Oreochromis niloticus: one gene and its partner. The protein of the gene in region 2 purifies or fractionates together with the protein of the main gene of each other region. This does not show direct contact. Links are inferred from orthologs where the notes say so. Each region holds a gene or a part of one and is shown on either strand. Other genes may lie near its edges.

Region 1 (9,490 bases), on a different chromosome or scaffold from region 2:
AACAGATCAGCTCAAGTTACAGATAGCAGAGCAGCACAGGCTGAGTCAGCAGAACTCTGGCAGATCTCTTTGTGGTGATTAGCCCACATGTGGTGTGAGTGGTGAACCCAAGGATGTGCATCGGGCGAATGGCAGGAGTACCGGTTCAGTACTCTGGCTGCCTGTTATTGTTTGACACATTAATGTAATTCACATAAACAGCAGCGGCAAGTGGGCGAGGCACCATTTGAGCAGTTGCAATGGTTCACCTAGGTGGCATGTTACCTGGCAGTCGATGCTACCGTCGCAGCGCAGGCTGTGGGGCAAGCAGGTGTAGATGCGGGTGTAGCGAGACAGGCAGGGGAACTGGTTCAGGCTGCAGGGCTGGAAGGAGAATGGCGAGTCCACACACATCTCTTCATCTGAATTGTCACCGCATTCGTCCATGGAGTTACAGCGCCACCAGTCTGGGATGCACTTCCCATTTGAGCAGTGGAACTGGTCCACATCACAGCTGGATGCCAGCGGCTTACCTGCAAACACAACAAATCTTACTTGTTTCCCATCCAGGAATAGCCTCTACTCCAGTTACATCACCAATACCACATCCCGTTTCCTCACCGCTGATGTATGACAGTCTGAAGCCTTTTCCCGTCAGGCTGTCATCCGAGTGGAAGTGGATCCACAAATGGTCCTGAGAGGAGATGTAGGGTGGTGGCAAGGAGGAGCCACAAACCCGGAGTCCATCCAGGTTCCTGTAGCTGCTGATGGACATCCAGTCTGAGGTGCAGCGATGGGAACCCTGTAGGTCAAAGTCCTGGAAGCTGCAAAGACAGAACAGGGAGGGCATCATGAGAGCAAAGATGGGGTTAAAATGAGGATTTGGTTGTTGCTTTTTACTCTGTGACCTGATGTGGATGTGGCAGGTGTAACTATGGAGACAGTAAGTGCAGTACCTGATGGTGATGGCATCTCCAGGTCGTGCCCTGATATTCCAGCTGCAGTTCATTCGGGCTGGATACTGGAAGGGCCATCCGGGGCTGGTGATTATACCGCTGGATGCCCGCAGGAGCTCTGCCACGTCACTGCAGGCTGGGGGGCAGGGTCGGACTGTTAGTGTGACACTGTGTGTTTGTGGGTGTGTGTGTGCCATTAGTGCTGCTCTGATGTCATGAATGTGACCTCACCATTAGAAATCCCTGACACATAGACATTTTCATTCCTCTGAGAGGCAGAAAAGCATCCTGGGGAAAAAAAACACAACAACACGTGGTTAGAAGTGATTTCATATAATAATAATAATGTAATAATGTATACTTTATTGATCCCCGTGGAGAATTTCCTCTCATCATTTAACCCATTCACTCAGTGAAGCAGTGGGCAGCCACTGGCTGCCCGGTACGCAGTGTGTAGGGACGGTACCTTGCTCAGGGGTACCTCAGGGTAGCTGTTCAGTCGATTCGAACCCTCGACCTTCTGATCATGGGGCCACCACTCTACCTACTGAGCTATCCCAGCTATATTGATAACAGGGTGACATACAGCTGATGAACAGCTGGATAATGCTGTTCCTTAGTCTGTTAATTTTTGTCTTTATGGATCTGAAATGTCTGCCTGAAGGTAGATGTTGAAACAGTACATGACCAGAGTGCGATGGGTCTTGAAGGAATTTGTTAATCTTCCTGAGAAAAGAGGAGGAGAGGACATCTGACTATCCGCTAGGCAACCTGTACAACTCTGCGTAATGCTCTCTTCTGTGCTCCTGTGCAGCTGGAAAACCATGCACAGAGACAGTATGCCAGGTGATCAGGCTGATTCATGAGCCGCTTATTTGTACATGTTTAGATCATGGACTCAGATTATCCCCACCCTTTTTATAAAAATGGCTTGACAGTGTGATGAAAACGCTTGCCTCTGTCCCCCTTGAAGGTCAGATAAGGACTTTTGCAATCAGTTTACAATTATATTATGAAGCTTTGAGAGTTTTTGCTGCAGCCATCTTGCTGTTTTAAAACCACATCTGAAGAGTGAGAGCTGGAGCTCACTGTGAAACTGCCGCATCATTGGCTAATGACCTGCCAATCAGTCATTAGCATATCCTTAGTAATCAGGACTTCATATTTAAATCACTCAAACAAGTGACTGAGCCCCTAAACTAATCGGGAACATCTTTACGGAGGTCAGAGGTCAGGTTTCACACAGACTTGTATAGAACTACAGGTAATTGGCCTTGGTGACCATTAGAAAAAAGAATGCATGTTTTGCTTTTCACATACACAAGCTTGGGCCATCGTTTATCCTGTCTGTGGTCTCAACACAGTGTTCTACATCCAGCAAGTTCTTGTTAAATGTTACATGTAAAAAAGACATAAAGTTAAACAGGATGGATAAAATGTTGAAGGAAGATAGCAGATGATACTTAATGGGAGGACTCTATTTTGAAAATTTGGCATCTTAAAGAATGCTCAATCTTGCAGGGTCAAATAGCTGGCCAATGCTCAACATTGTTAATTTTCAAAAAATGATAATCAAATGTTACAAGTTTGACCACCAGGGGTGCTGTTATGCCAGTTTTAGTGTAGTTGTGTCATAAAGCAGTCTAAGGTCAAGTGTTGCAGTGGTTACAGCTGTTACAGGAAGAAGGATCAGACTTCCTGTCCTTTCTGTGGTATCTGTTCTCCTACAGACTAAAGAAAAGCTTGCTGGTCAACTGGTGATTCTTATTGGTGGTAAGTGCTAGCCCTGTGACGGACAGGGAACCTAGTCAGGTGTACCAGCCTGTCATTCTGACTCCAGCCCAAAGTGGTTAAGAGAAGGTGGTCCCTGTTAAGATACTTGTGAAGCCCTGATCACTTACATAGACCGTTTCATTATCATGATTGGTATTATTACTGAACCATGCTCAACATCTTCAAGCTTTAATAGAAACTGATTGATATCTGCCAACTGCTATGCTTACTACACAGAAGAAATGAAGAATGACTGTAGTGACACCTGTCCATTGATCACAGCAGACCAAATGTAAAGTAATCTGTAAGAGCCATTTCCAGCTGTTCTGAGCCACCACTAGATGTTCTGTCCTTCCACATCTGCCTCTCCATTGTACTTCCTCTTTCTCTACTGGTGGATTCAGAGCAGACTGGATGGTGCAGTAAGATCTGTACTGTGAAATATTACAGATTTAGGTCCAGGTTTTTGGGACATAAAATCTTGGTGATAATAAGTGCCCACAATCACTTCTTGCCACATGTCCATGTTAAACATTAAATTAAGTAACATTAGCTTGTGATACTCTGTCCTTAAATGGTTACAGGTGTACAGCTCTGCCCTCCTGCAATCTTCCAGAACCACTTTATTCAAGAGAAAGTAAGTTGTCAGGAAGGGGGAAGTCTTAAAGAGACCGGACCCGGCGTCATCAGAACAAAACACAAGTGTACACACTTGAAAACAGGTCAGTCTGCACTCACCTGTGAGGAGGAGGAGGCAAACCACACCCTGCCTGCAGTCTGTTTTGAGGGCCATGATAACCCTGATGTTCTGATGAAGATAATGGTGAAGAGTCCAAGGTCACAGAGCTGAGCGCTGCATGTCAGCTGTTAGCAGACCTCGGCTCCGAACCGAGCGGCTACCGAGGATAACGGAGCTCCCCGATAAACCCGGCATTCAATTAACACAGACGCGAGCCGCTGAACGTGACGTTAACGCGGAATCGAGCTGTGCGGGGGGTACGCAGCGGGACATACTGCGAAGAACCTCGGTTAGCTCGGAAACAAAGACCCGCTAGCTGCCGACTAACAGGCTGACGCTAAGAACACCGGCCCGTTAGCTTCAACATGCTAACGGGACAGAGTCATCCGACCCAGAGGGGGGGGGGGCGAACCGGGTCAATCCGAGCTCACGGGACCTTCACCGAGTCAGCAGCACTACTGTCGATCTGATAGAAGTCGTGAGCGCATTTCCGTGCGAAGCTGTTAGGTTTTAGCTTCCGTCGAGCCGAACAACAACAACAGACCGCAGAGAGAATCCCCGCCCCTTTGACAGTGGCGTCACTAACATGGCCCCGCCGTTTTTGTCATTTGTTCGTTTATGTGAACTTCCTGTTTCCTGAAGATGTCAAGGCACTTCATTAATCACAGAGCCGAACTTCCTTCAAATATTCACTACATCTATGTAGTGAACATATGGCCGTGTGTTTAGTTGAACCGGTTCTTCTAAAGCGCTTTTCTACTGCACTTGAGCACTCAATATGCCTCATACAGCAACTCATAAGCTTTACATGCTTAAGTGCTTTCTATCTAACATATCTGCATGTGTGTCAGTAACTGAGTTAGTGTGTGTGTGTGTGTGTGTGTGTGTGAGAGAGAGAGAGAGAGAGAGAGAGAGAGAGAGATTTGTCACTAACAGATGCAGTATTTGCAGAACAGAACATCTGTTGTCTGTGAACCCTCAGAGGTGCTGCAGCACTCACCTCCCCAAACACACTCACACACACACACCCTTTGCTACCCACTTTGTGCTGGACCTGCAGCCTGCAGCTGGAAGCAGTTTTTTCTAACAACTCTGAGATTTTTAATCCTCAGCTGAAACTAGCTTTTCTGTTCCACGCAGAGATCCACCTTCAGCTCTGTGAACCTGACCTGCTCTCTGGCAGCTGTTCCCTCAGACTCCTCACCTCCTGCTGCACCTGGACCAGCTAACTGACCCTGTGACTGATTTCCTCAATCATGAAATCAGAGCTCAGAGTGGAGAGAATTCATCTGCTCGAGTTTCACGAACAATAAAAAACACAGATGTTAGTTTGTTACACAAGAGCTTTAATAATGAATCAGTCATCAATATATTAGGACAGGGACCACGACTCCATCAGTGATTGATTAGCAGCTCAGATTCAAATCTCCATTCTCCATCTTTGTAGCTGAGAGACTGAGTGGACAGTCTGATTGTAATCTGATCAGGAAATTAGAACATTTCATATGAAATAAAATCACACACACAGACACTCAGGTTCATGTGCAGACTCATGTTATGGGATTTATTATATGAAAAGTGGAGCTGTACAAGAATTGAAGTACCCCTGATGGAAGGATGCGGGATGCAGGATACGGTCTCAGCGGATTTTCTTCCTGTGTGAAGACAGAGTGAAGTGAGGGCCTTAGCCTTTGATTTCAGCAACCGTTAACTAATGTAAACATGAAGAAACGCTTCAGAGATTGTCAGCTCAGATTTATTGTGTTTTGGATGACTGCATATCCTGGTTTAAAAGCTTTGACTTACTGACATATTAACACCTGGTTGGTCCATGGGCTTGATCAGTCACTGAGCTTTACTCGCTTTTAAATGACTTCATGTTCACATTGAGATTTTTTTTTTTTTACTTCCGGTTAGTATAAACATGATTTCTTTGTCTTTATTTTCTTTCCGTTGCGGATTTTCTTTCGGCAGAGGTCCTGTCACTGTAACTATGACGTTCTGCCAGAAGTTCAAGGCGTCATCAGCAGGCCCCGCCTTCAACCTGTGACGCGTGACCTTTAACCTTCGGTTTCACGTGGTTGAATCGAGGAGGACAGAAACGCGTGGAGCGAGCGGAGAGGAGAGATGAAGAAAGCAGGGGAGAAAACTGCGTTGAAGAGGAGTAAAGAAGAGGAAGAGGAACAGAACCAGGTGAGCCACACACACAGAGGAGGAAAGTGATGAAGATCTGGTAACGTGCTAGTAACGAGCTAGCATGCTAATACGGGGCAGGCTGCTGTTTAGCCCTCAGAGCAGACACGGAGCGAGACCTGAACCATGAGACCGGACCGGGGCGTTGCTGCTTCTAAAATAAACACAGAACCATCCTCTGTGCACATGTGTGATGTCAGCCTCGGGTTAGGGCTCTATTATAATGTCGGAGTTTTAAAAGGAAGACCTCCTCAACTTAGATTTTAACTCGCATTGTCGGAGCAACCTCACCGACCCAGAGCTAACGATCCAACATGGAAGCAGTGACGTAAATGGCAGCAAAACTGTAACGGAACGAGCACTGTAGCAGGTAGTGTGTCAGGGTACATGTGTACGGTTAGTGTTGCACTGAGTGACGTCAATCCTGAGCAGAGTACAGAAGGTTTTCCTGATTTTTCATGTTTTGCTTTTAGTTGCTGGTTGTTTGATTTAAGTGTGTGTGTGATCACTCACAGATTGCACAGGCAATTAGCTTGTGCTAATGATTTGTAGGTTTTATTTTTCTTATTTTTAATTACACTCACAGCCAAAAACTGATGTTTTTTTTCAATTGTGTCTCTGTAATTCTGGGTTTTCCTTCTCAGATCTTCAACTTTAACAGGAAACCTGCTGATGAAGATAAGGATGATGATTTATCAGATAGCGAGGACAGTGTCTACTCAGGCCTGGAGGATTCTGGGAGTGACGCTGAGGGGGAAGAGGGATCCGAGGAGGAGGAGGAGGATGATGATGATGACAAGGTACAGTGTCAGCAGCTAAGTTTTAACTGTATTTGTCTGACTGCTGATTGGTTGCTGTTAAGTGTCCTCAGTGTTCTGCTGCAGAACATCACCTGAACTTTGTTCCATCTGTAGATGAAGGAAAGAACGGAGGAAGAAGTGAGTGAAGAAAAGAAGGAAGATGAGTATGAACATGACTCTTCAGATGAAGAGGTGATCAAAACTTATTCATGTGTATGCTTGTCATTACTTTTCTTATGCCTGTGTCTGGTGTATTGTATGCAATTTTAGCCACATGCACACTAATAAAAAGCTGGGAGATTTTTGCTCCTGGTCCTTGCTCTTTTGTGTGTGTGTGTGTGTGTGTGTGTGTGTGTGTGTGTGTGTGTGTGTGTGTTTGCATGTGGGGGTGGATCGATGGACACATAATTGGCCAGTCTCTGGCCAGAATTTGCTGCAGTCTGTGTGTGGTTATTGAGTCAGTGATTATGAGTCTCTCACTGATCGATGGATATACTGCAATGAAAATGCAGCTGACGGTATCTTTGATGCTTAGTAGGTCAGTGCACCAGGTTCTGATGTTTGGTTTATGATGAGAGCTCACTTAAGAAACCATTCCACCTTAAACCTTTCGGTAGCTGCTTACCTTCAGTGTTGTAGACTCATGTCTATATGCAACAGATCCTGGGTGAAGCTCTGGAGTTCTCTGTTTCATGTTGACCTTTTATTAGCCTGAAAAAGCTGTGATGAAATGACATGAAAACTAGTTCATGCATTTATTATTTCTAGGTTGGACTACTGTAATTTGTGATTACTAGGATGTCCTAAAAACTCCCTGAAAAGCCTTCAATCGATCCAAAATGCTACAGTGAGAGAACTTACAAGGACTAAAAAGAGAGAGTATATTTCTCCTGTACTAGCTTCTCTTCATTGGCTCCTGTTAAATCCATATTCAAATTTAAAATCCGGCTTCTGACGTACAAGTTCTTGAATAATCAGGCCCCATCTTATCTTAATGACCTTATAGTGTACCATATCACCCCATTAGAGCACTTTGTTGTCAGACTACAGTCTTACTTGTGTTTCCTAGAGTATTTAAAAGTAGAATGGAAGACATAGCCTTAAGCTTTCCGGCCCCTCCTCTATAGAACCAGTTATCAGTTTGCATGCGGGAGACAGACACTATCTCTACTCTTAAGATTAGGCTTAAAACTTTCCTTTTTGCTAAAGCATATAGTTAGGGCTGGATCAGGTGATCCTGAATCCTTCCTTAGTTATGTTGCAATAGGTGTAGACTGCTGGGGGATTCCCATTGTTTCTTTTTTTTAGTCAACTTTTTCACTCACTTTGTGTTTATACACCCCTTTGCATTTAATTATTATTTATTAAATGCTGCGTAGTTCTGCTGGAGTTTTCTTCCTGTTAAAAGGGAGGTTTTCCTTCCCACTGTTTTCACAGCGGTTGCTCATAGGGGTATTGTTGCGGTTTTCTTTTCTTTTTTGTTTTTGTTGGGTCTTTACCTTACAATATAAAGCACCTTGAGGCAACTGTTGTTGTGATTTGGTTCTACATAAATAAAATTGCATTCAGTTGTGGGGAAAAAGGTGATTTCAGGCCTGCTGCTCTCACTGCAGTTATTATGAAGGTCTTTCAGCACTGAGATTGGAAGCATCTGGCTCACATCGCTCTAGACCCTCATCAGTGTTGTGTGTCATGCATCTGGAGTATAAAGTGAACCTCACGCACTAAAGCACACTTTAAAGATGGATCCACCCCGTTCTTATGGACTACACTGCTTTTATATGTCTGATCTGTTCCTTTGGAATTTTGCTTCATGTTATGCTGTGTTGTGTGTTGCTGGATGTGCCTTGTGATATATGTGAGCATAACTAAGACAAACCCCTGTCAACTGTCCTGTTAAAGTGGGTACAATACAACATGTTTTGTACAGGATACTTGTTCCTTTACACATGTTCTGATTGGTGCATTGGCTTCTTTTATGTTCCCCTCTCCATCCTGTGGTGGTTTCTCATGCTCACATTGTCCTTCAGGATATCAGGAACACAGTGGGGAACATTCCTGTTGAGTGGTACAAAGATTTCCCTCACATTGGGTACAATCTGGATGGGAAAAAAATCTACAAGCCAATAAGGAACAAGGATGAGCTTGATGACTTCTTGGATAAGATGGAGAACCCAGAGTACTGGTGAGCGGTTAGCATGATGCTAACTTCTTCATAGGTTTGATAGGGAATGCTGATGAAGCTAACAGCTTGCTGTCTGCAGGAGAACAGTGCATGACAAGCAGACAGGAAGTGACATTGTGCTGTCCGATGATCAGGTGGAGCTGGTGAACCGTCTGCAGAGAGGACAGTTTGGAGACGTCAACTTCAATGAGTATGAGGTATGCCCTCCTAGAGTGACACCGGGGTTCCGTTCACTAGCCTTGAGTTTACCTGCTTAATCCATCCTTTAATAGCCACATGTCCCAGACCATCTAGCAAGAAGTGAGCGTGGCTTAAAAATGTAGAACACACTGGTTACCTGTCTCTTTACACCTCTTCCGCAGCCAATGGTAGAATTCTTCAGTAGCGACGTGATGATTCATCCCATCACCAACAGACCGGCAGACAAACGCAGCTTTATCCCCTCGCTCACAGAGAAGGAGAAGGTAATGCACCTGACTCACCTGGCTTACCTGGCTGCTCTCAGCTGTAACTGTAACTCTGTAACACACCTGTCTGACTGCAGGTGTCCAAACTGGTCCATGCCATAAAAATGGGTTGGCTCAAACCCCGGCGGGTAGAGGATGATGGCAGGGGGCGGTATTACGACTTGTGGGCCAGCGAGGACTCTTCCATTCTGGCCAGACATAGGATGCACCTGCCTGCCCCCAAAATCCCTTTACCTGGTCACCATGAGTCCTACAACCCACCACCCGAGTATCTGTTCACTGACGAGGAGGTTTGTCAGTGCGTTGCCTCACCTGGTTTATGTTCAGAGGATAGATAGAACTGCATTCAAACACACCCCCGTCTGTCTGTCCTCACTTGCCTCACCTGTCTGCAGCGA
Region 2 (10,454 bases):
GGGTTGGGTAAATATTTTAAGGACACGCATTGCATACATCCACTACACACAGGCATATAGCAGTAATACGTAGTGTATTTCACTGGTTTGATTTCCTCTATTATAGGCATTTTAAATCACTCATACACTGAAGAAACAAGTCAAATTGTGGCTCTGAGTCTTTTTATCATTTATACCTGTGATACCTTATACCCTCTGTGACATAGCTAACAAAATAAAAGCCTGTAAATGGTAAATGGCCTGTATTTGTATAGCGCTTTACTTAGTCCCTATGGACCCCAAAGGCTTTACACTACATTCAGTCATCCACGCATTCACACACTGGTGATGGCAAGCTACATTGTAGCCACAGCTGCCCTGGGGCGAACTGACAGAGGCGAGGCTGCCGGACACTGGCGCCACCGGGCCCCTCTGACCACCACCAGTAGGCAACGGGTGAAGTGTCTTGCCCAAGGACACAACGACCAAGACTGTCGGAGAAATCGGGCTTGAACAGGCAACCTTCCGATTACAAGACAAACTGCCAACTCTTGAGCCACGATGTAGGATGATGCTCATTAATCTGTCACATGAAACAACCAAAAGTCTTTATTATTGCTAATTCAGTCACTTTCTATTTTTCTCACCAACGTAGTTTTCATCCCTCCAGTATCGACGTCCCATATGCGGATGGTGTGGTCCCAAGACGCGCTACAAACCTCCTCACTGTCACACCACAGGACAGATGACACTGCCTCGCTGTGTCCCGACAATGTCATCAAGGGAGTCTGTGTCAAAAAACAAACAAAACAAAAAACCCCAACTCATTTTGCAATGACTTAGCGGGCTTATTCTCCAGTCAATCATACTCTGGTTGTGCACTCACCCTGGTCAGGCCGAGCTGCTGAGTCTTCTGTTTTTTCCTCGGTCTGTCAGCCGGCTCCTCGATCTCATCCTGCTCATCTGTAGGCACTGACAGCACAGGAAATATAGTTTGTAGCAGCCTCACAACAATACCTTTTTTAACAATAAAGAGTCCTTGAATCATTCTGGGATCATACCTGCTGACCAGATCTTCAACATTTTGTCCCAAGAGCCACTGCAGAACTGAAAGTGTTTACCACAAACATCCAAAGTCATTAATCGCAGCACTCTTTGTTGTCTTTTGAGTTTTTGTCTTGCCCTCTCCAACCTTACCTTCGTTCCTGTGGGGTCTACAGAAATGGTGTCAACGCTCCCCGCGTGTCCACGACAGCAATGTCTGGCTTCCACCTTGTTTCTCTCAGAGTTCCACTCCCACAGTAACACGGTTTGGTCCAGAGAGGCCGTCAGAAGCAGAGAGGTCAGACCCTCTACACAGAAAACATCCACAAAGAGGACTTAATAAAGCCTTTGACTATTAACATAGCAGTACTTGTCTGTTTCATTTTGTCCCACTCACCTCTTTTGACCCAGGCTACGTCTTTGACCACATCTGTATGTCCAGGCACAGTCATCACAGGCTTGCCCTCAGTAGACCAAATTCTGGCAGTCTTGTCGTATGACCCTGTTAAGATCCTGCAGGGGAAAAAATAAGGGTCATTCCATTTTCAAATCATTATGAACCCTCTGCTCGAACATCTTCAGTTTCACAATATTTTCATATAGAAGCTTCAAGCTTCTTCTGGTTCTTTGCCATGTTGTCCGTTATGTATACAGCACTGGTTAATCCCTTTATGGTCAAAGTACAAGAACTGAACTGAAAAAGAAGCCAATGTCCAAAGAAAAAATAGACAAGACTTTCAGAAAGCCTGCAGCACTATTGCTCTGGACCACTTTAAAAGGAATAGAAAGTCTGGCTCCCTGGAAGTAAAAGGTAAAGAATAAGGGGCGGTTTAAGACTTTTGTTTAGCTAATGAACAACCAAGAAGACAAAAGAAAATATGAACATATCACAACTGAATCTTTGCTGAGCTAATTTCCCACTTAATAAAAAGCACACTAATGATCTGCTCTCAACCATCTTACCATTCAGCATCAGCATCTGCAGAGCTAATCCAGTCATCATGCATCATGCACTCCTCGGGTTCTGGGGCCGTGATCCGCTCCACGTATTCTATCTCCACAACTTCTTCCTGAGACACGGGCAAACAGAGTAAAACATCTGGTTAATGTTGTTTTACTCATGTGGATGCTTATGACTCGCTTTATACAATATATCCATACGAGTTTAAGCACTATAGCAGGCCATACCGTTAATATACTCTCTGTCTCCATGTGAGCTGACAGTGAGGTTCGCAGGAACTGACCCCTGACCAGGAAGTCAAACTCCACTTTACTGTGAGAAGCTGTGAAGAGAACCAAATAAATTATCTGGAGAATTTTACAAGTACAGTCTGTGATAAGGACTAAATTTGACACACACACACACACACACACACACATATATATATATATATATATAGTGCAACCAATTAAAAATACTACTAAAACTAAATTTACAGAACAATCAGGTGCCACAAAAAGGTGACACACACAGTATTTGCGCCAGTGCAAAAAATATTTTGTCTGCCACAAGAGAGAGGAGAACACCACAGGCCTAAACCCTGCAGGCCTGACAGCAGGAGGTGCATCACTCCGTCTGTTCTTCACCTGGAGACACTCGCTCTCTCTTTCTCTCTCCCACAGCCGTCATTCTGAAAACATTCACCCCTTCCAAAATAACCAAATCCCATGTGTTGACAATATTTTTTTTGTTGGTCAATATGGTACACTTTTACACCAATACAAAAGGGGTGGCATTTTTTCCTGAACTTTTTTTGTGCCGTCCTTAGAAAACACACTTTTTACCATTTCATCCCACACTAAATGTGATGATAGTAGAAGAAAGCATCACGTGTATTTTTATGATCGTAGCTCTGGATTTAGTGGCCTATCAATAAAATTTAAAAACTGGTGTATAGTTTGAAGTCTGAACTTTCAACACAAGTTGAATGGAGACTCAACGTGGCTGCAGCTTGTTGCTATGGCATCTTAAATCGGTCAGGTGATTTGGAGATGAGGTGTGTCCATCGACCCCAGAGTGTAACAATCAACGCCTGTGTGAAATCTAAAAATGCCCATGGCATTGATTCAAAATGTACTCTGGCACAATCGTAAGCATCGGTTGCTATGGACAACAAGAAATAAAGTTGATCTAAATTCAGTTTTAGAATTCATATTCAATGTTAATTTTAGCTAGGCTCGAAGTGTTAATGCTATCTTATTTTAATAAACAACACTGTCATATGCAAAACTAGGGTGGCAAGAGAATATTTTAGGGCATGCCACCCCATGCCACCCCTGTAGATCCGCCATGCGGTGCCACCATATGTAGATCCGCCCCTGTGATTGAGGATTAGGATTATAATGCTATTTAATCTGTGTTTACAGTTCTGCAGCTGGAGGCTGAATTGTAAAGGAGGTGGGGAATAGTTTGTGTGCCTATGATAAAGTGAGCTTACCATTTTTAGCTTCCAGCAGCTTGTTGATTACATTGCTGAGTTCCTGCACTTCGGATGCAGCTGGGATGGAGAACGGGACATCATCTACAACGTACCTACAGAGATAGACACATTTTAGCTGCTACCGGAGTCTACATAACTTCACACTGTTAGCATTAGCATTTTAAAAAAAAAAAACAACATAGCTACGAATTAGCCACGATCAGAACTACAGATAAAAAAAGAATTTATTTGCAAGAGGAAAAGACAGAACATCCCACAATGAGACGATGCTGTTTACTCTAAATTACAGCTAGCAAGTTAGCTAGCTCGCTTGCTTGTTTGTCATTTTCTGTTGAGGTTTTTTTTTTTCTTTTAAACCTCACCTTTTGTCTTCTGTGAAGAATCTTGCCTGTATCTGAGACATTTTGTGCTTATTTTGCCAACCACGAGCTCTAGAATATTAAAATACAAGGAATCCTCATAACGCGCTTCTCGTGCAGTTATGCCATGTGGTACGAAACAAACCACTGCAATACGAAAAGTAGATGCTCTGTGTTCGTCTAGTGACGCCTGGCCAGTATGCGAACTTTGCTTCCGCTTCTCCCAAGCTCGGTCACTCGGGAGTTCGGACTTCCTTAGGATGGCAGGACTCATCGGCAATGTTTTAATGATAAATCCTCTACGAACCAGTTGTTACGATGATTAGATGAACCTCAATGTAAAATATTTGTATTAATAATGACCTAAAAGATCTAGAGACTGCTATTTACATTCATCGATGTGAATGTCAGTATACACGGTGGAATTTAATAGAAATAATATTTTTTATTTACATTGGGTGAACAAAAATAACTAATATCAAAGTTTCGTCATAACTTCTGATAGCTTATCAGCACTTTTAATCAATAAAAACAAAGGTTAGCTTCACCTGACAATACTCTGTATTAGCACATGAGTTTAAACATGAGTCCAAAGCATCAGGTCTGAGTATATCGCCTTTACATGTAATGAGAGCTTCAAAGGGTTTAAATGTTTGTTGCCTAATTGAAAATTTAAATTCTTTACTAAAGCAAAAGTACAAACTCCGAAATGTACTCAAAGAAAGAAAGTAAAAATGAGCTCCATGAAGGAAAATTTTTATAATCATTTTTGTACAAAGGTAACTGAACCTTATACTATATAAATGTAATAATAAAATAATATTAGAAAATGAAAATATAAATATTATTGTAATTTAAATTTTGATTCAAATTAATGTACTCGGTTTGGGTACATTTTATACCTATTTTCTATTGCCTACATTGTAGAGGGTGACTTTGCCTCCACACCTAAACAGTAAAATAAGAAAAGTCAGGGGTTACGGTGGGATTCAGCAGGTGGGGGGATTATTGGGGCCACATTAAGAAAAAAATATATTGTTCATCATTTTGAGAGTAAAGTAAAAATTTCGAGATTAAGTCGAACATCTATTTTGAGAAAAAAAGTTGACATGTGAAGCCATTGTTGTTTCAAGACAAACTGCTATACCCATTACAATTCATTGTTTAGATAGCTTAGTGAAACAAACTGATCAGCTGTCTTTTGACACATCATCTTTATTACATGAGGGTGTAATCATCAATAACCTTGCATCTGTCCATTAAGAGCCATTTCCTTTGTTTTCCATCTAACCAGATCCAGCTTTCTACACCATCTTCTTAATGTCTTTATACTGATCACCACACTGTGTCTATGAGCTAAAAGAGAAATAATTTTACTTTCTTGTTACCGATTCTGATTCTGATTCTGAAGTATGGTTTGTCTTGAAACAACTGTAATCTCCACAATTTGACTTTTCCTCAAAATACACTTTCAACTTTAATCTCAATATTTGGACTTTATTCTCAAAATGAACAACAATATTTATTTTCCTTAATGTGGCCTTAACCCTCTACTGCACACATTTTGATGGTACATGCTGAAAATGATCTGAGTCATTTTGGACCATTTTAGTGCCAAAATAAATCATTTTAAATTTCAGACAACCCCTCTCCAACAGTGGCATACATCAACAGAGAAAATTATTAACTCATAAATAATTACACAGCTGTTAGAAAGCGAAAAATATATTTTTTAAGTATTCAAAAAATGTCAACCAGTTTTGAAACAAATAACTAAGTATGGCTTGATACAGGCTTAGGTTCGAATATAGATTCTCATGTTGTGAGATTTTGCTGTCATTCTCTGACAGTGTGTGAAACTTTTCTTAACAGTTCTTCTGTGCTGTAAAGCAGAGGTGCACAATTCACTTTATACACATGCATCTTGCCTTATTCGAGTTAATGCAATTTCACTTGTATTCCGCCAAATCACAACAGAAATTCCCTCAAGGTGGATTATATTCTAATGTATGAACCCACAACAATACAGAGAAAACTCTGACGGCCCCCTAAAATCAAGCACTTGGCTACAGGAGGAATGAAAAACTCCCTTTTAACAGGATAAAAGCTCCAGGAGAACCAGACTCAGGGAGGGGCGACCACCTGCCACCTTGCTTCATTTTTTGAATTGATACAGCAAGGACTAATATTTTCAAATTCTGTTTTCTTAATTTACTGGTTAGGTACTGCTTGAATTTGCTTGCCCTTAAATGGCACCATTTGGTCATCCACACAATGTTGTATCTTTACACTCACGTTTCTTTTTTCTTTTATTTAGAGTTCAAGTCATTAAAAATATAATTACTAGAGCAAACACGTTCTCACACCATGCAGTCCTATGACTATGTCAGGATATGAGGTGGGACACCCTACCCTCACATGTTATAGGACCAAAATTTGACACTTTCCCAAACACTTTGATTCAAGTTCAAATGTACTGGGCATGAGGCTTAAAAAAAAAAAAAAAAAAAAACTTATCCTATATCTTTTTCTATCTCTGAGTGAAGTTACTCTTTTCTCTCCCTGGGAAACCCAGCAGCTGTACCTTTAGCTAGCAGACACACTGTGTTCACACAGTTTGCTGACATTTGTTTAGCTGATAAAAATGTTGAATTTGAAATTACATGCTACTTAGAAAAAACTCACTTATAACACTTTAGATGATACCACTGAACCTAAAGTAACAAATCTGTTTTGAAAATATAAGTAGAAAGTTTTGTGGAAAAATATAGGGAGTAAAAGTAGTCAGAAAAATAAATACTCAAGTACAGACAGCTAAAACTAGTTAGTACAATAAGTGAAGTATTTGTACTTAATTACTTCCCACCCCTGCTGGATGCACCTATTTGTGCAAAAAACAAACAAACACACACACACACACACACTCAGCATTTGAGCAAAAGGTTTTATTTCACCTGGTTTTGTTTATCACAAGAGAACTGGGAAATCTGTACTGAACTCATGACTCAATTAGATCTCTTTGTGAATAAAACAAATGCTCGTCTACACAGGCTTTTGGTAGATTAAGCTTAAGCATCTTCAAAAAAAAGAAAAAGAAAAAAGAAAAAAAGACTTATTGTACAGTTTCTTTATGACAACAGAAAAGAATGAGATCTAATGATTACTCTGTTTACTGTGAACTTCTTTTCAGATGTCCACAGACAGGCACTCAATACTGTATTGTCCTCAGAAAATATAATTGAATAATAAAAATAAAAGACAAAAAAACAAAACTATTTACACTCTCCTCTCCTTTCAATCTTCTTCCTGCTCCTCTTTTACCTTCTTTTTCTTTTTTTTCTTCTTCTCTGTTGTCTGGAGAGAGAGAGAGGGGTGTCATTACAGAAGAAGAAGAAGAAAAAAAAAGGGATAATTTTAAAACTTTAGCTTCCATCTTACCTCAGTAACTGCTACCACCTCTTCTTCCTTTGGTTCTTCCATTTTCTCCTCTGCTTTCTTATCCTTCTTTTTCTTCTTCTTTTTCTTTGGGGTCTCCTCTGCTGCCGCTGATGTTTCTGCTTGTTCTTCTTCTAAACACAGAGCCAGAACACTATCAGCATCACAGATCCAAATGCACAGGAGGCAAATGATTGATTCCAAACTCACTCACCTTCTATTGCCAACTCCTGTTTTGCCTTTTTGGGTTTGACTGCTGGTGTCGTGGGCTCTGTGGCATCCTCTTCTTCTACCTCCTCAAACTTCCTCTTCTTCGATGTGGACGGAATCGTAGAATCACCTGACGGATCATAAATTCTCACTTCACTGTGGAGGAAAAGTTGTAGCAGGCATTAACCACCTTACATATATAGATGTGGAAATCTGCAAAGGAGCTGCAAGTGACTACTCACCTCTTGTGCTGGTATTTATCTGCCTTTGCCATTGCTTTGCCTGTTCCACTGATTCTTCGAATCTGAAAAGAAAAATGTGGATTCAGTGACTAAAGGAGGGGAAAAAAATAACAAAAACAGGGATTTTACCAGGATAACAGATTCAGAAGAAATACAAAACTCCATTACAGTTTGCATATAGCACTTTTCTCCCTGGACACTCAAAGTGCACTATTGGACCAAGATACTACTTGCATTTAGTATCTTCCTCAAGGATTGGGGAGACTGGAGCAGCCAGACATGGAATGGCGAACCGTCCAATTAGTAGATGACCTGCTCCACCTCCTGAGGTACAGCCACATTTGTGAACATAACCCAGAACTGATGTTGTGTTCTTAGGGCTAATGTTCAGACTAAAGCAAAACGAGAAACTGTCCTGTGATCAGACAAATCAAATTTGCAGTTCTTTCTGGTAAATAGGGATACCAAGTCCTGTGAACTATAGGGACGAGAGGCCATGTGGCTTCTTATCAGCACTACGGTCAAAAGCCTGCATCTCTGATAGTACAGGAATGGATTAATGGTTATGCAACTGTCACATCTGGAGAGGCACCATCAATACTGAAAGGTATACGCTGCAAACAATATCATCTCCAAATTATGCCAGGCGACAGTAATAGCAAAGAGACAAAGCACTTTTGGAACATGGGGAAAGCCAAAAACTGCGCTTCCTCCACTTCCGTACCATTGATTCATTAATGCTGAATTCTCTCGCAGCTGCTCTATTCCCATGTTGTTGCAGTATAGTAATGACTAACCTCATATCGTGGATGGATTAGCTCTGTTGTTCTCCTGGCTGAAGTTTGCTCCGTTTACAGCATTCTGCCATGCAATTGCATTAGTCCCTAACCACCAGAAACCCTCATGTAAACTTTAATCGAGTGGAAAAAAGTTGGCATTCATCCTTCAGCTTCACTGTGCTAATGTTATGCTAACGTAGCTGTTTTGCTAGCAATCACGTAGCACATCATTATATACCAGCTAGTCCAACTTCAGTAACCCTACCAACGTCACTGCTGTTTAATTTTCTCCCTTCATTTATGTTGGAAGTGACAGCAGAGCTGTACATTTTAATTTTTTCAGAAATCTCAGTCAGAACATGCTATATCATGTTTAGGTGGAAACTAGCGAGCTAACTTCCGCTAACTTCTAACTCCGTTGAATTTAATAAATTCTGTTTTCATGGATGCCTGGATGTTAAACTTAATTGTTACACCTGGTAAAGCAGCAACACTGATCATTTTATTAAAAATGAAAGAATTTACACAGTTTTTAACTCTCAGCGATGCCGCAGTGTTTGTTTGACTTTGGGACCTGAAGTAGACAGAGTTTGGGACCCAGATTACTCCACAAGGCTCCTGACTACAGCAGCCGTAATGCTCCGGCAATCCATCAAGCGGTGCGCCTTCATAGCTTACCAAAGTCGTATTAAAACATTTTTTGACCGATTTCTGAGCGCCGTGAACCACATAAAATCGGTTCGAGGTCAGTAAGCACAACCAGAATTCATACATAAGGCACACTGTCGATTTTTGAGAAAATTAAAGGATTTTAAGTGTGCCTTATAGTGTGTAAAATACGTTATACAGAAGAAAAGAATATATCGTGATATATATCGTTACCACACATGCTTCAAATTATACTGTGATATGGATTTTAGGCCATATCACTCAGCCCTATGAGGACATTTGTTTTAAATTTCGATAGAACAATGGCAGTATAATGTCCTCGTAAGTGGATATCAGGCCCTTGCAGAGCAAAATTTAGTATTTTGGTCTAGACAACCCAAAATGTGATGTCCACATACGTGGACGCCAGGTCCCAGGAGGTTAAATAGCATCCCAACTTTTCAGGAATAGGGGTTGTAGCTGTACTTACTCCCTTATCTTCCAACTGACGTAGTCTGGCCTCCAGCTTGGCACGGTTCTCTGCACCCATTTCTGCATTTGTGTCTTCTCCGAGAGCGTCATAGCGAATAGCCAGGGCTGCTTTAGCTGCCAGCATCCTGGAAATCTGCAATGGCATTACAGAAAACCAAAGCCTGAGTTGACAGCTTCACATTTTGGCCACCAACCATTATTCAGTCACATATCACACTCTAAGAACATACCTTGCCCTTGTTCTTAGCAGTGGTCTGGCCCACTAGAGAAGCATGGTATATGAGACCATACTTGGGTGTGTCTTTGCGCGTCTTCAGGGCTCTAAAAAGAGCCTTCTCTGCTCCAAGGATCTGGACTGTGGAGGCTGGATGCTTTGCCAGATTCAGAAGGGAACCTGGATCGCACAATGAATGAAACAAAGAACTGTAGCTATGGTGCTCTTCAAGGACCTGACTACTAGTGCTTTCACTGCCAGCTCAGATGAGGTAGTGACTTAAAACCATCAGTCATGTTCAGGAAAGTGACTTAGTGTCATCATCATCACTGCTAGGCCAGTTTTCACAAATTACCTGACTTTTGCCCTCCCCCACCCAAACTCACCTGCATGTGAGATGAGACGGGCGCCAACCAGCTCCCCCACCATTACAGTGAGGTTGGGAGCGATTGCCATCATTCTGTTCTTCAGGTAGTCGTAGAGCTGAGCCCGGTATTCTGAAATCTCTACCACCTATGGGAGAAAAAAAATATATAAAGAGAACATTCAAAAACAAATTCACGAATGCAGGGTACCAGTCACGAAAGGCAAAGACGCATAGAAAACCCTGT

Evidence for each region. The genes of interacting proteins can lie anywhere in the genome.
Region 1: the proteins of wdr12 (region 2) and bop1 purify together in Homo sapiens (affinity purification with western blotting; 6 studies listed by BioGRID and IntAct, with this or other methods). This does not show direct contact. The link is inferred for Oreochromis niloticus from reciprocal best matches to the Homo sapiens genes WDR12 and BOP1.

What each region holds. Positions count from the first base shown.
Region 1 is NC_031985.2:36,129,923-36,139,412, reverse strand, and holds the start of bop1 (ribosome biogenesis protein bop1), read left to right. Parts: upstream 1-5,462; 5' UTR 5,463-5,574; coding exon 5,575-5,640; intron 5,641-6,284; coding exon 6,285-6,440; intron 6,441-6,554; coding exon 6,555-6,632; intron 6,633-8,470; coding exon 8,471-8,625; intron 8,626-8,704; coding exon 8,705-8,822; intron 8,823-8,987; coding exon 8,988-9,089; intron 9,090-9,169; coding exon 9,170-9,382; intron 9,383-9,487; coding exon 9,488-9,490. Other genes in the region: lrp12 (low-density lipoprotein receptor-related protein 12), read right to left, coding at 265-512, 601-803, 936-1,071, 1,167-1,223, 3,447-3,501. UniProt on the Homo sapiens protein: Component of the PeBoW complex, which is required for maturation of 28S and 5.8S ribosomal RNAs and formation of the 60S ribosome.
Region 2 is NC_031986.2:736,285-746,738, reverse strand, and holds the start of wdr12 (ribosome biogenesis protein wdr12), read right to left. Parts: upstream 4,068-10,454; 5' UTR 3,868-4,067; coding exon 3,827-3,867; intron 3,557-3,826; coding exon 3,462-3,556; intron 2,307-3,461; coding exon 2,212-2,306; intron 2,094-2,211; coding exon 1,987-2,093; intron 1,537-1,986; coding exon 1,421-1,536; intron 1,332-1,420; coding exon 1,177-1,331; intron 1,087-1,176; coding exon 1,041-1,086; intron 952-1,040; coding exon 866-951; intron 768-865; coding exon 627-767; intron 1-626. Other genes in the region: nop58 (nucleolar protein 58), read right to left, coding at 7,118-7,177, 7,262-7,392, 7,473-7,624, 7,711-7,772, 9,628-9,762, 9,860-10,023, 10,230-10,356.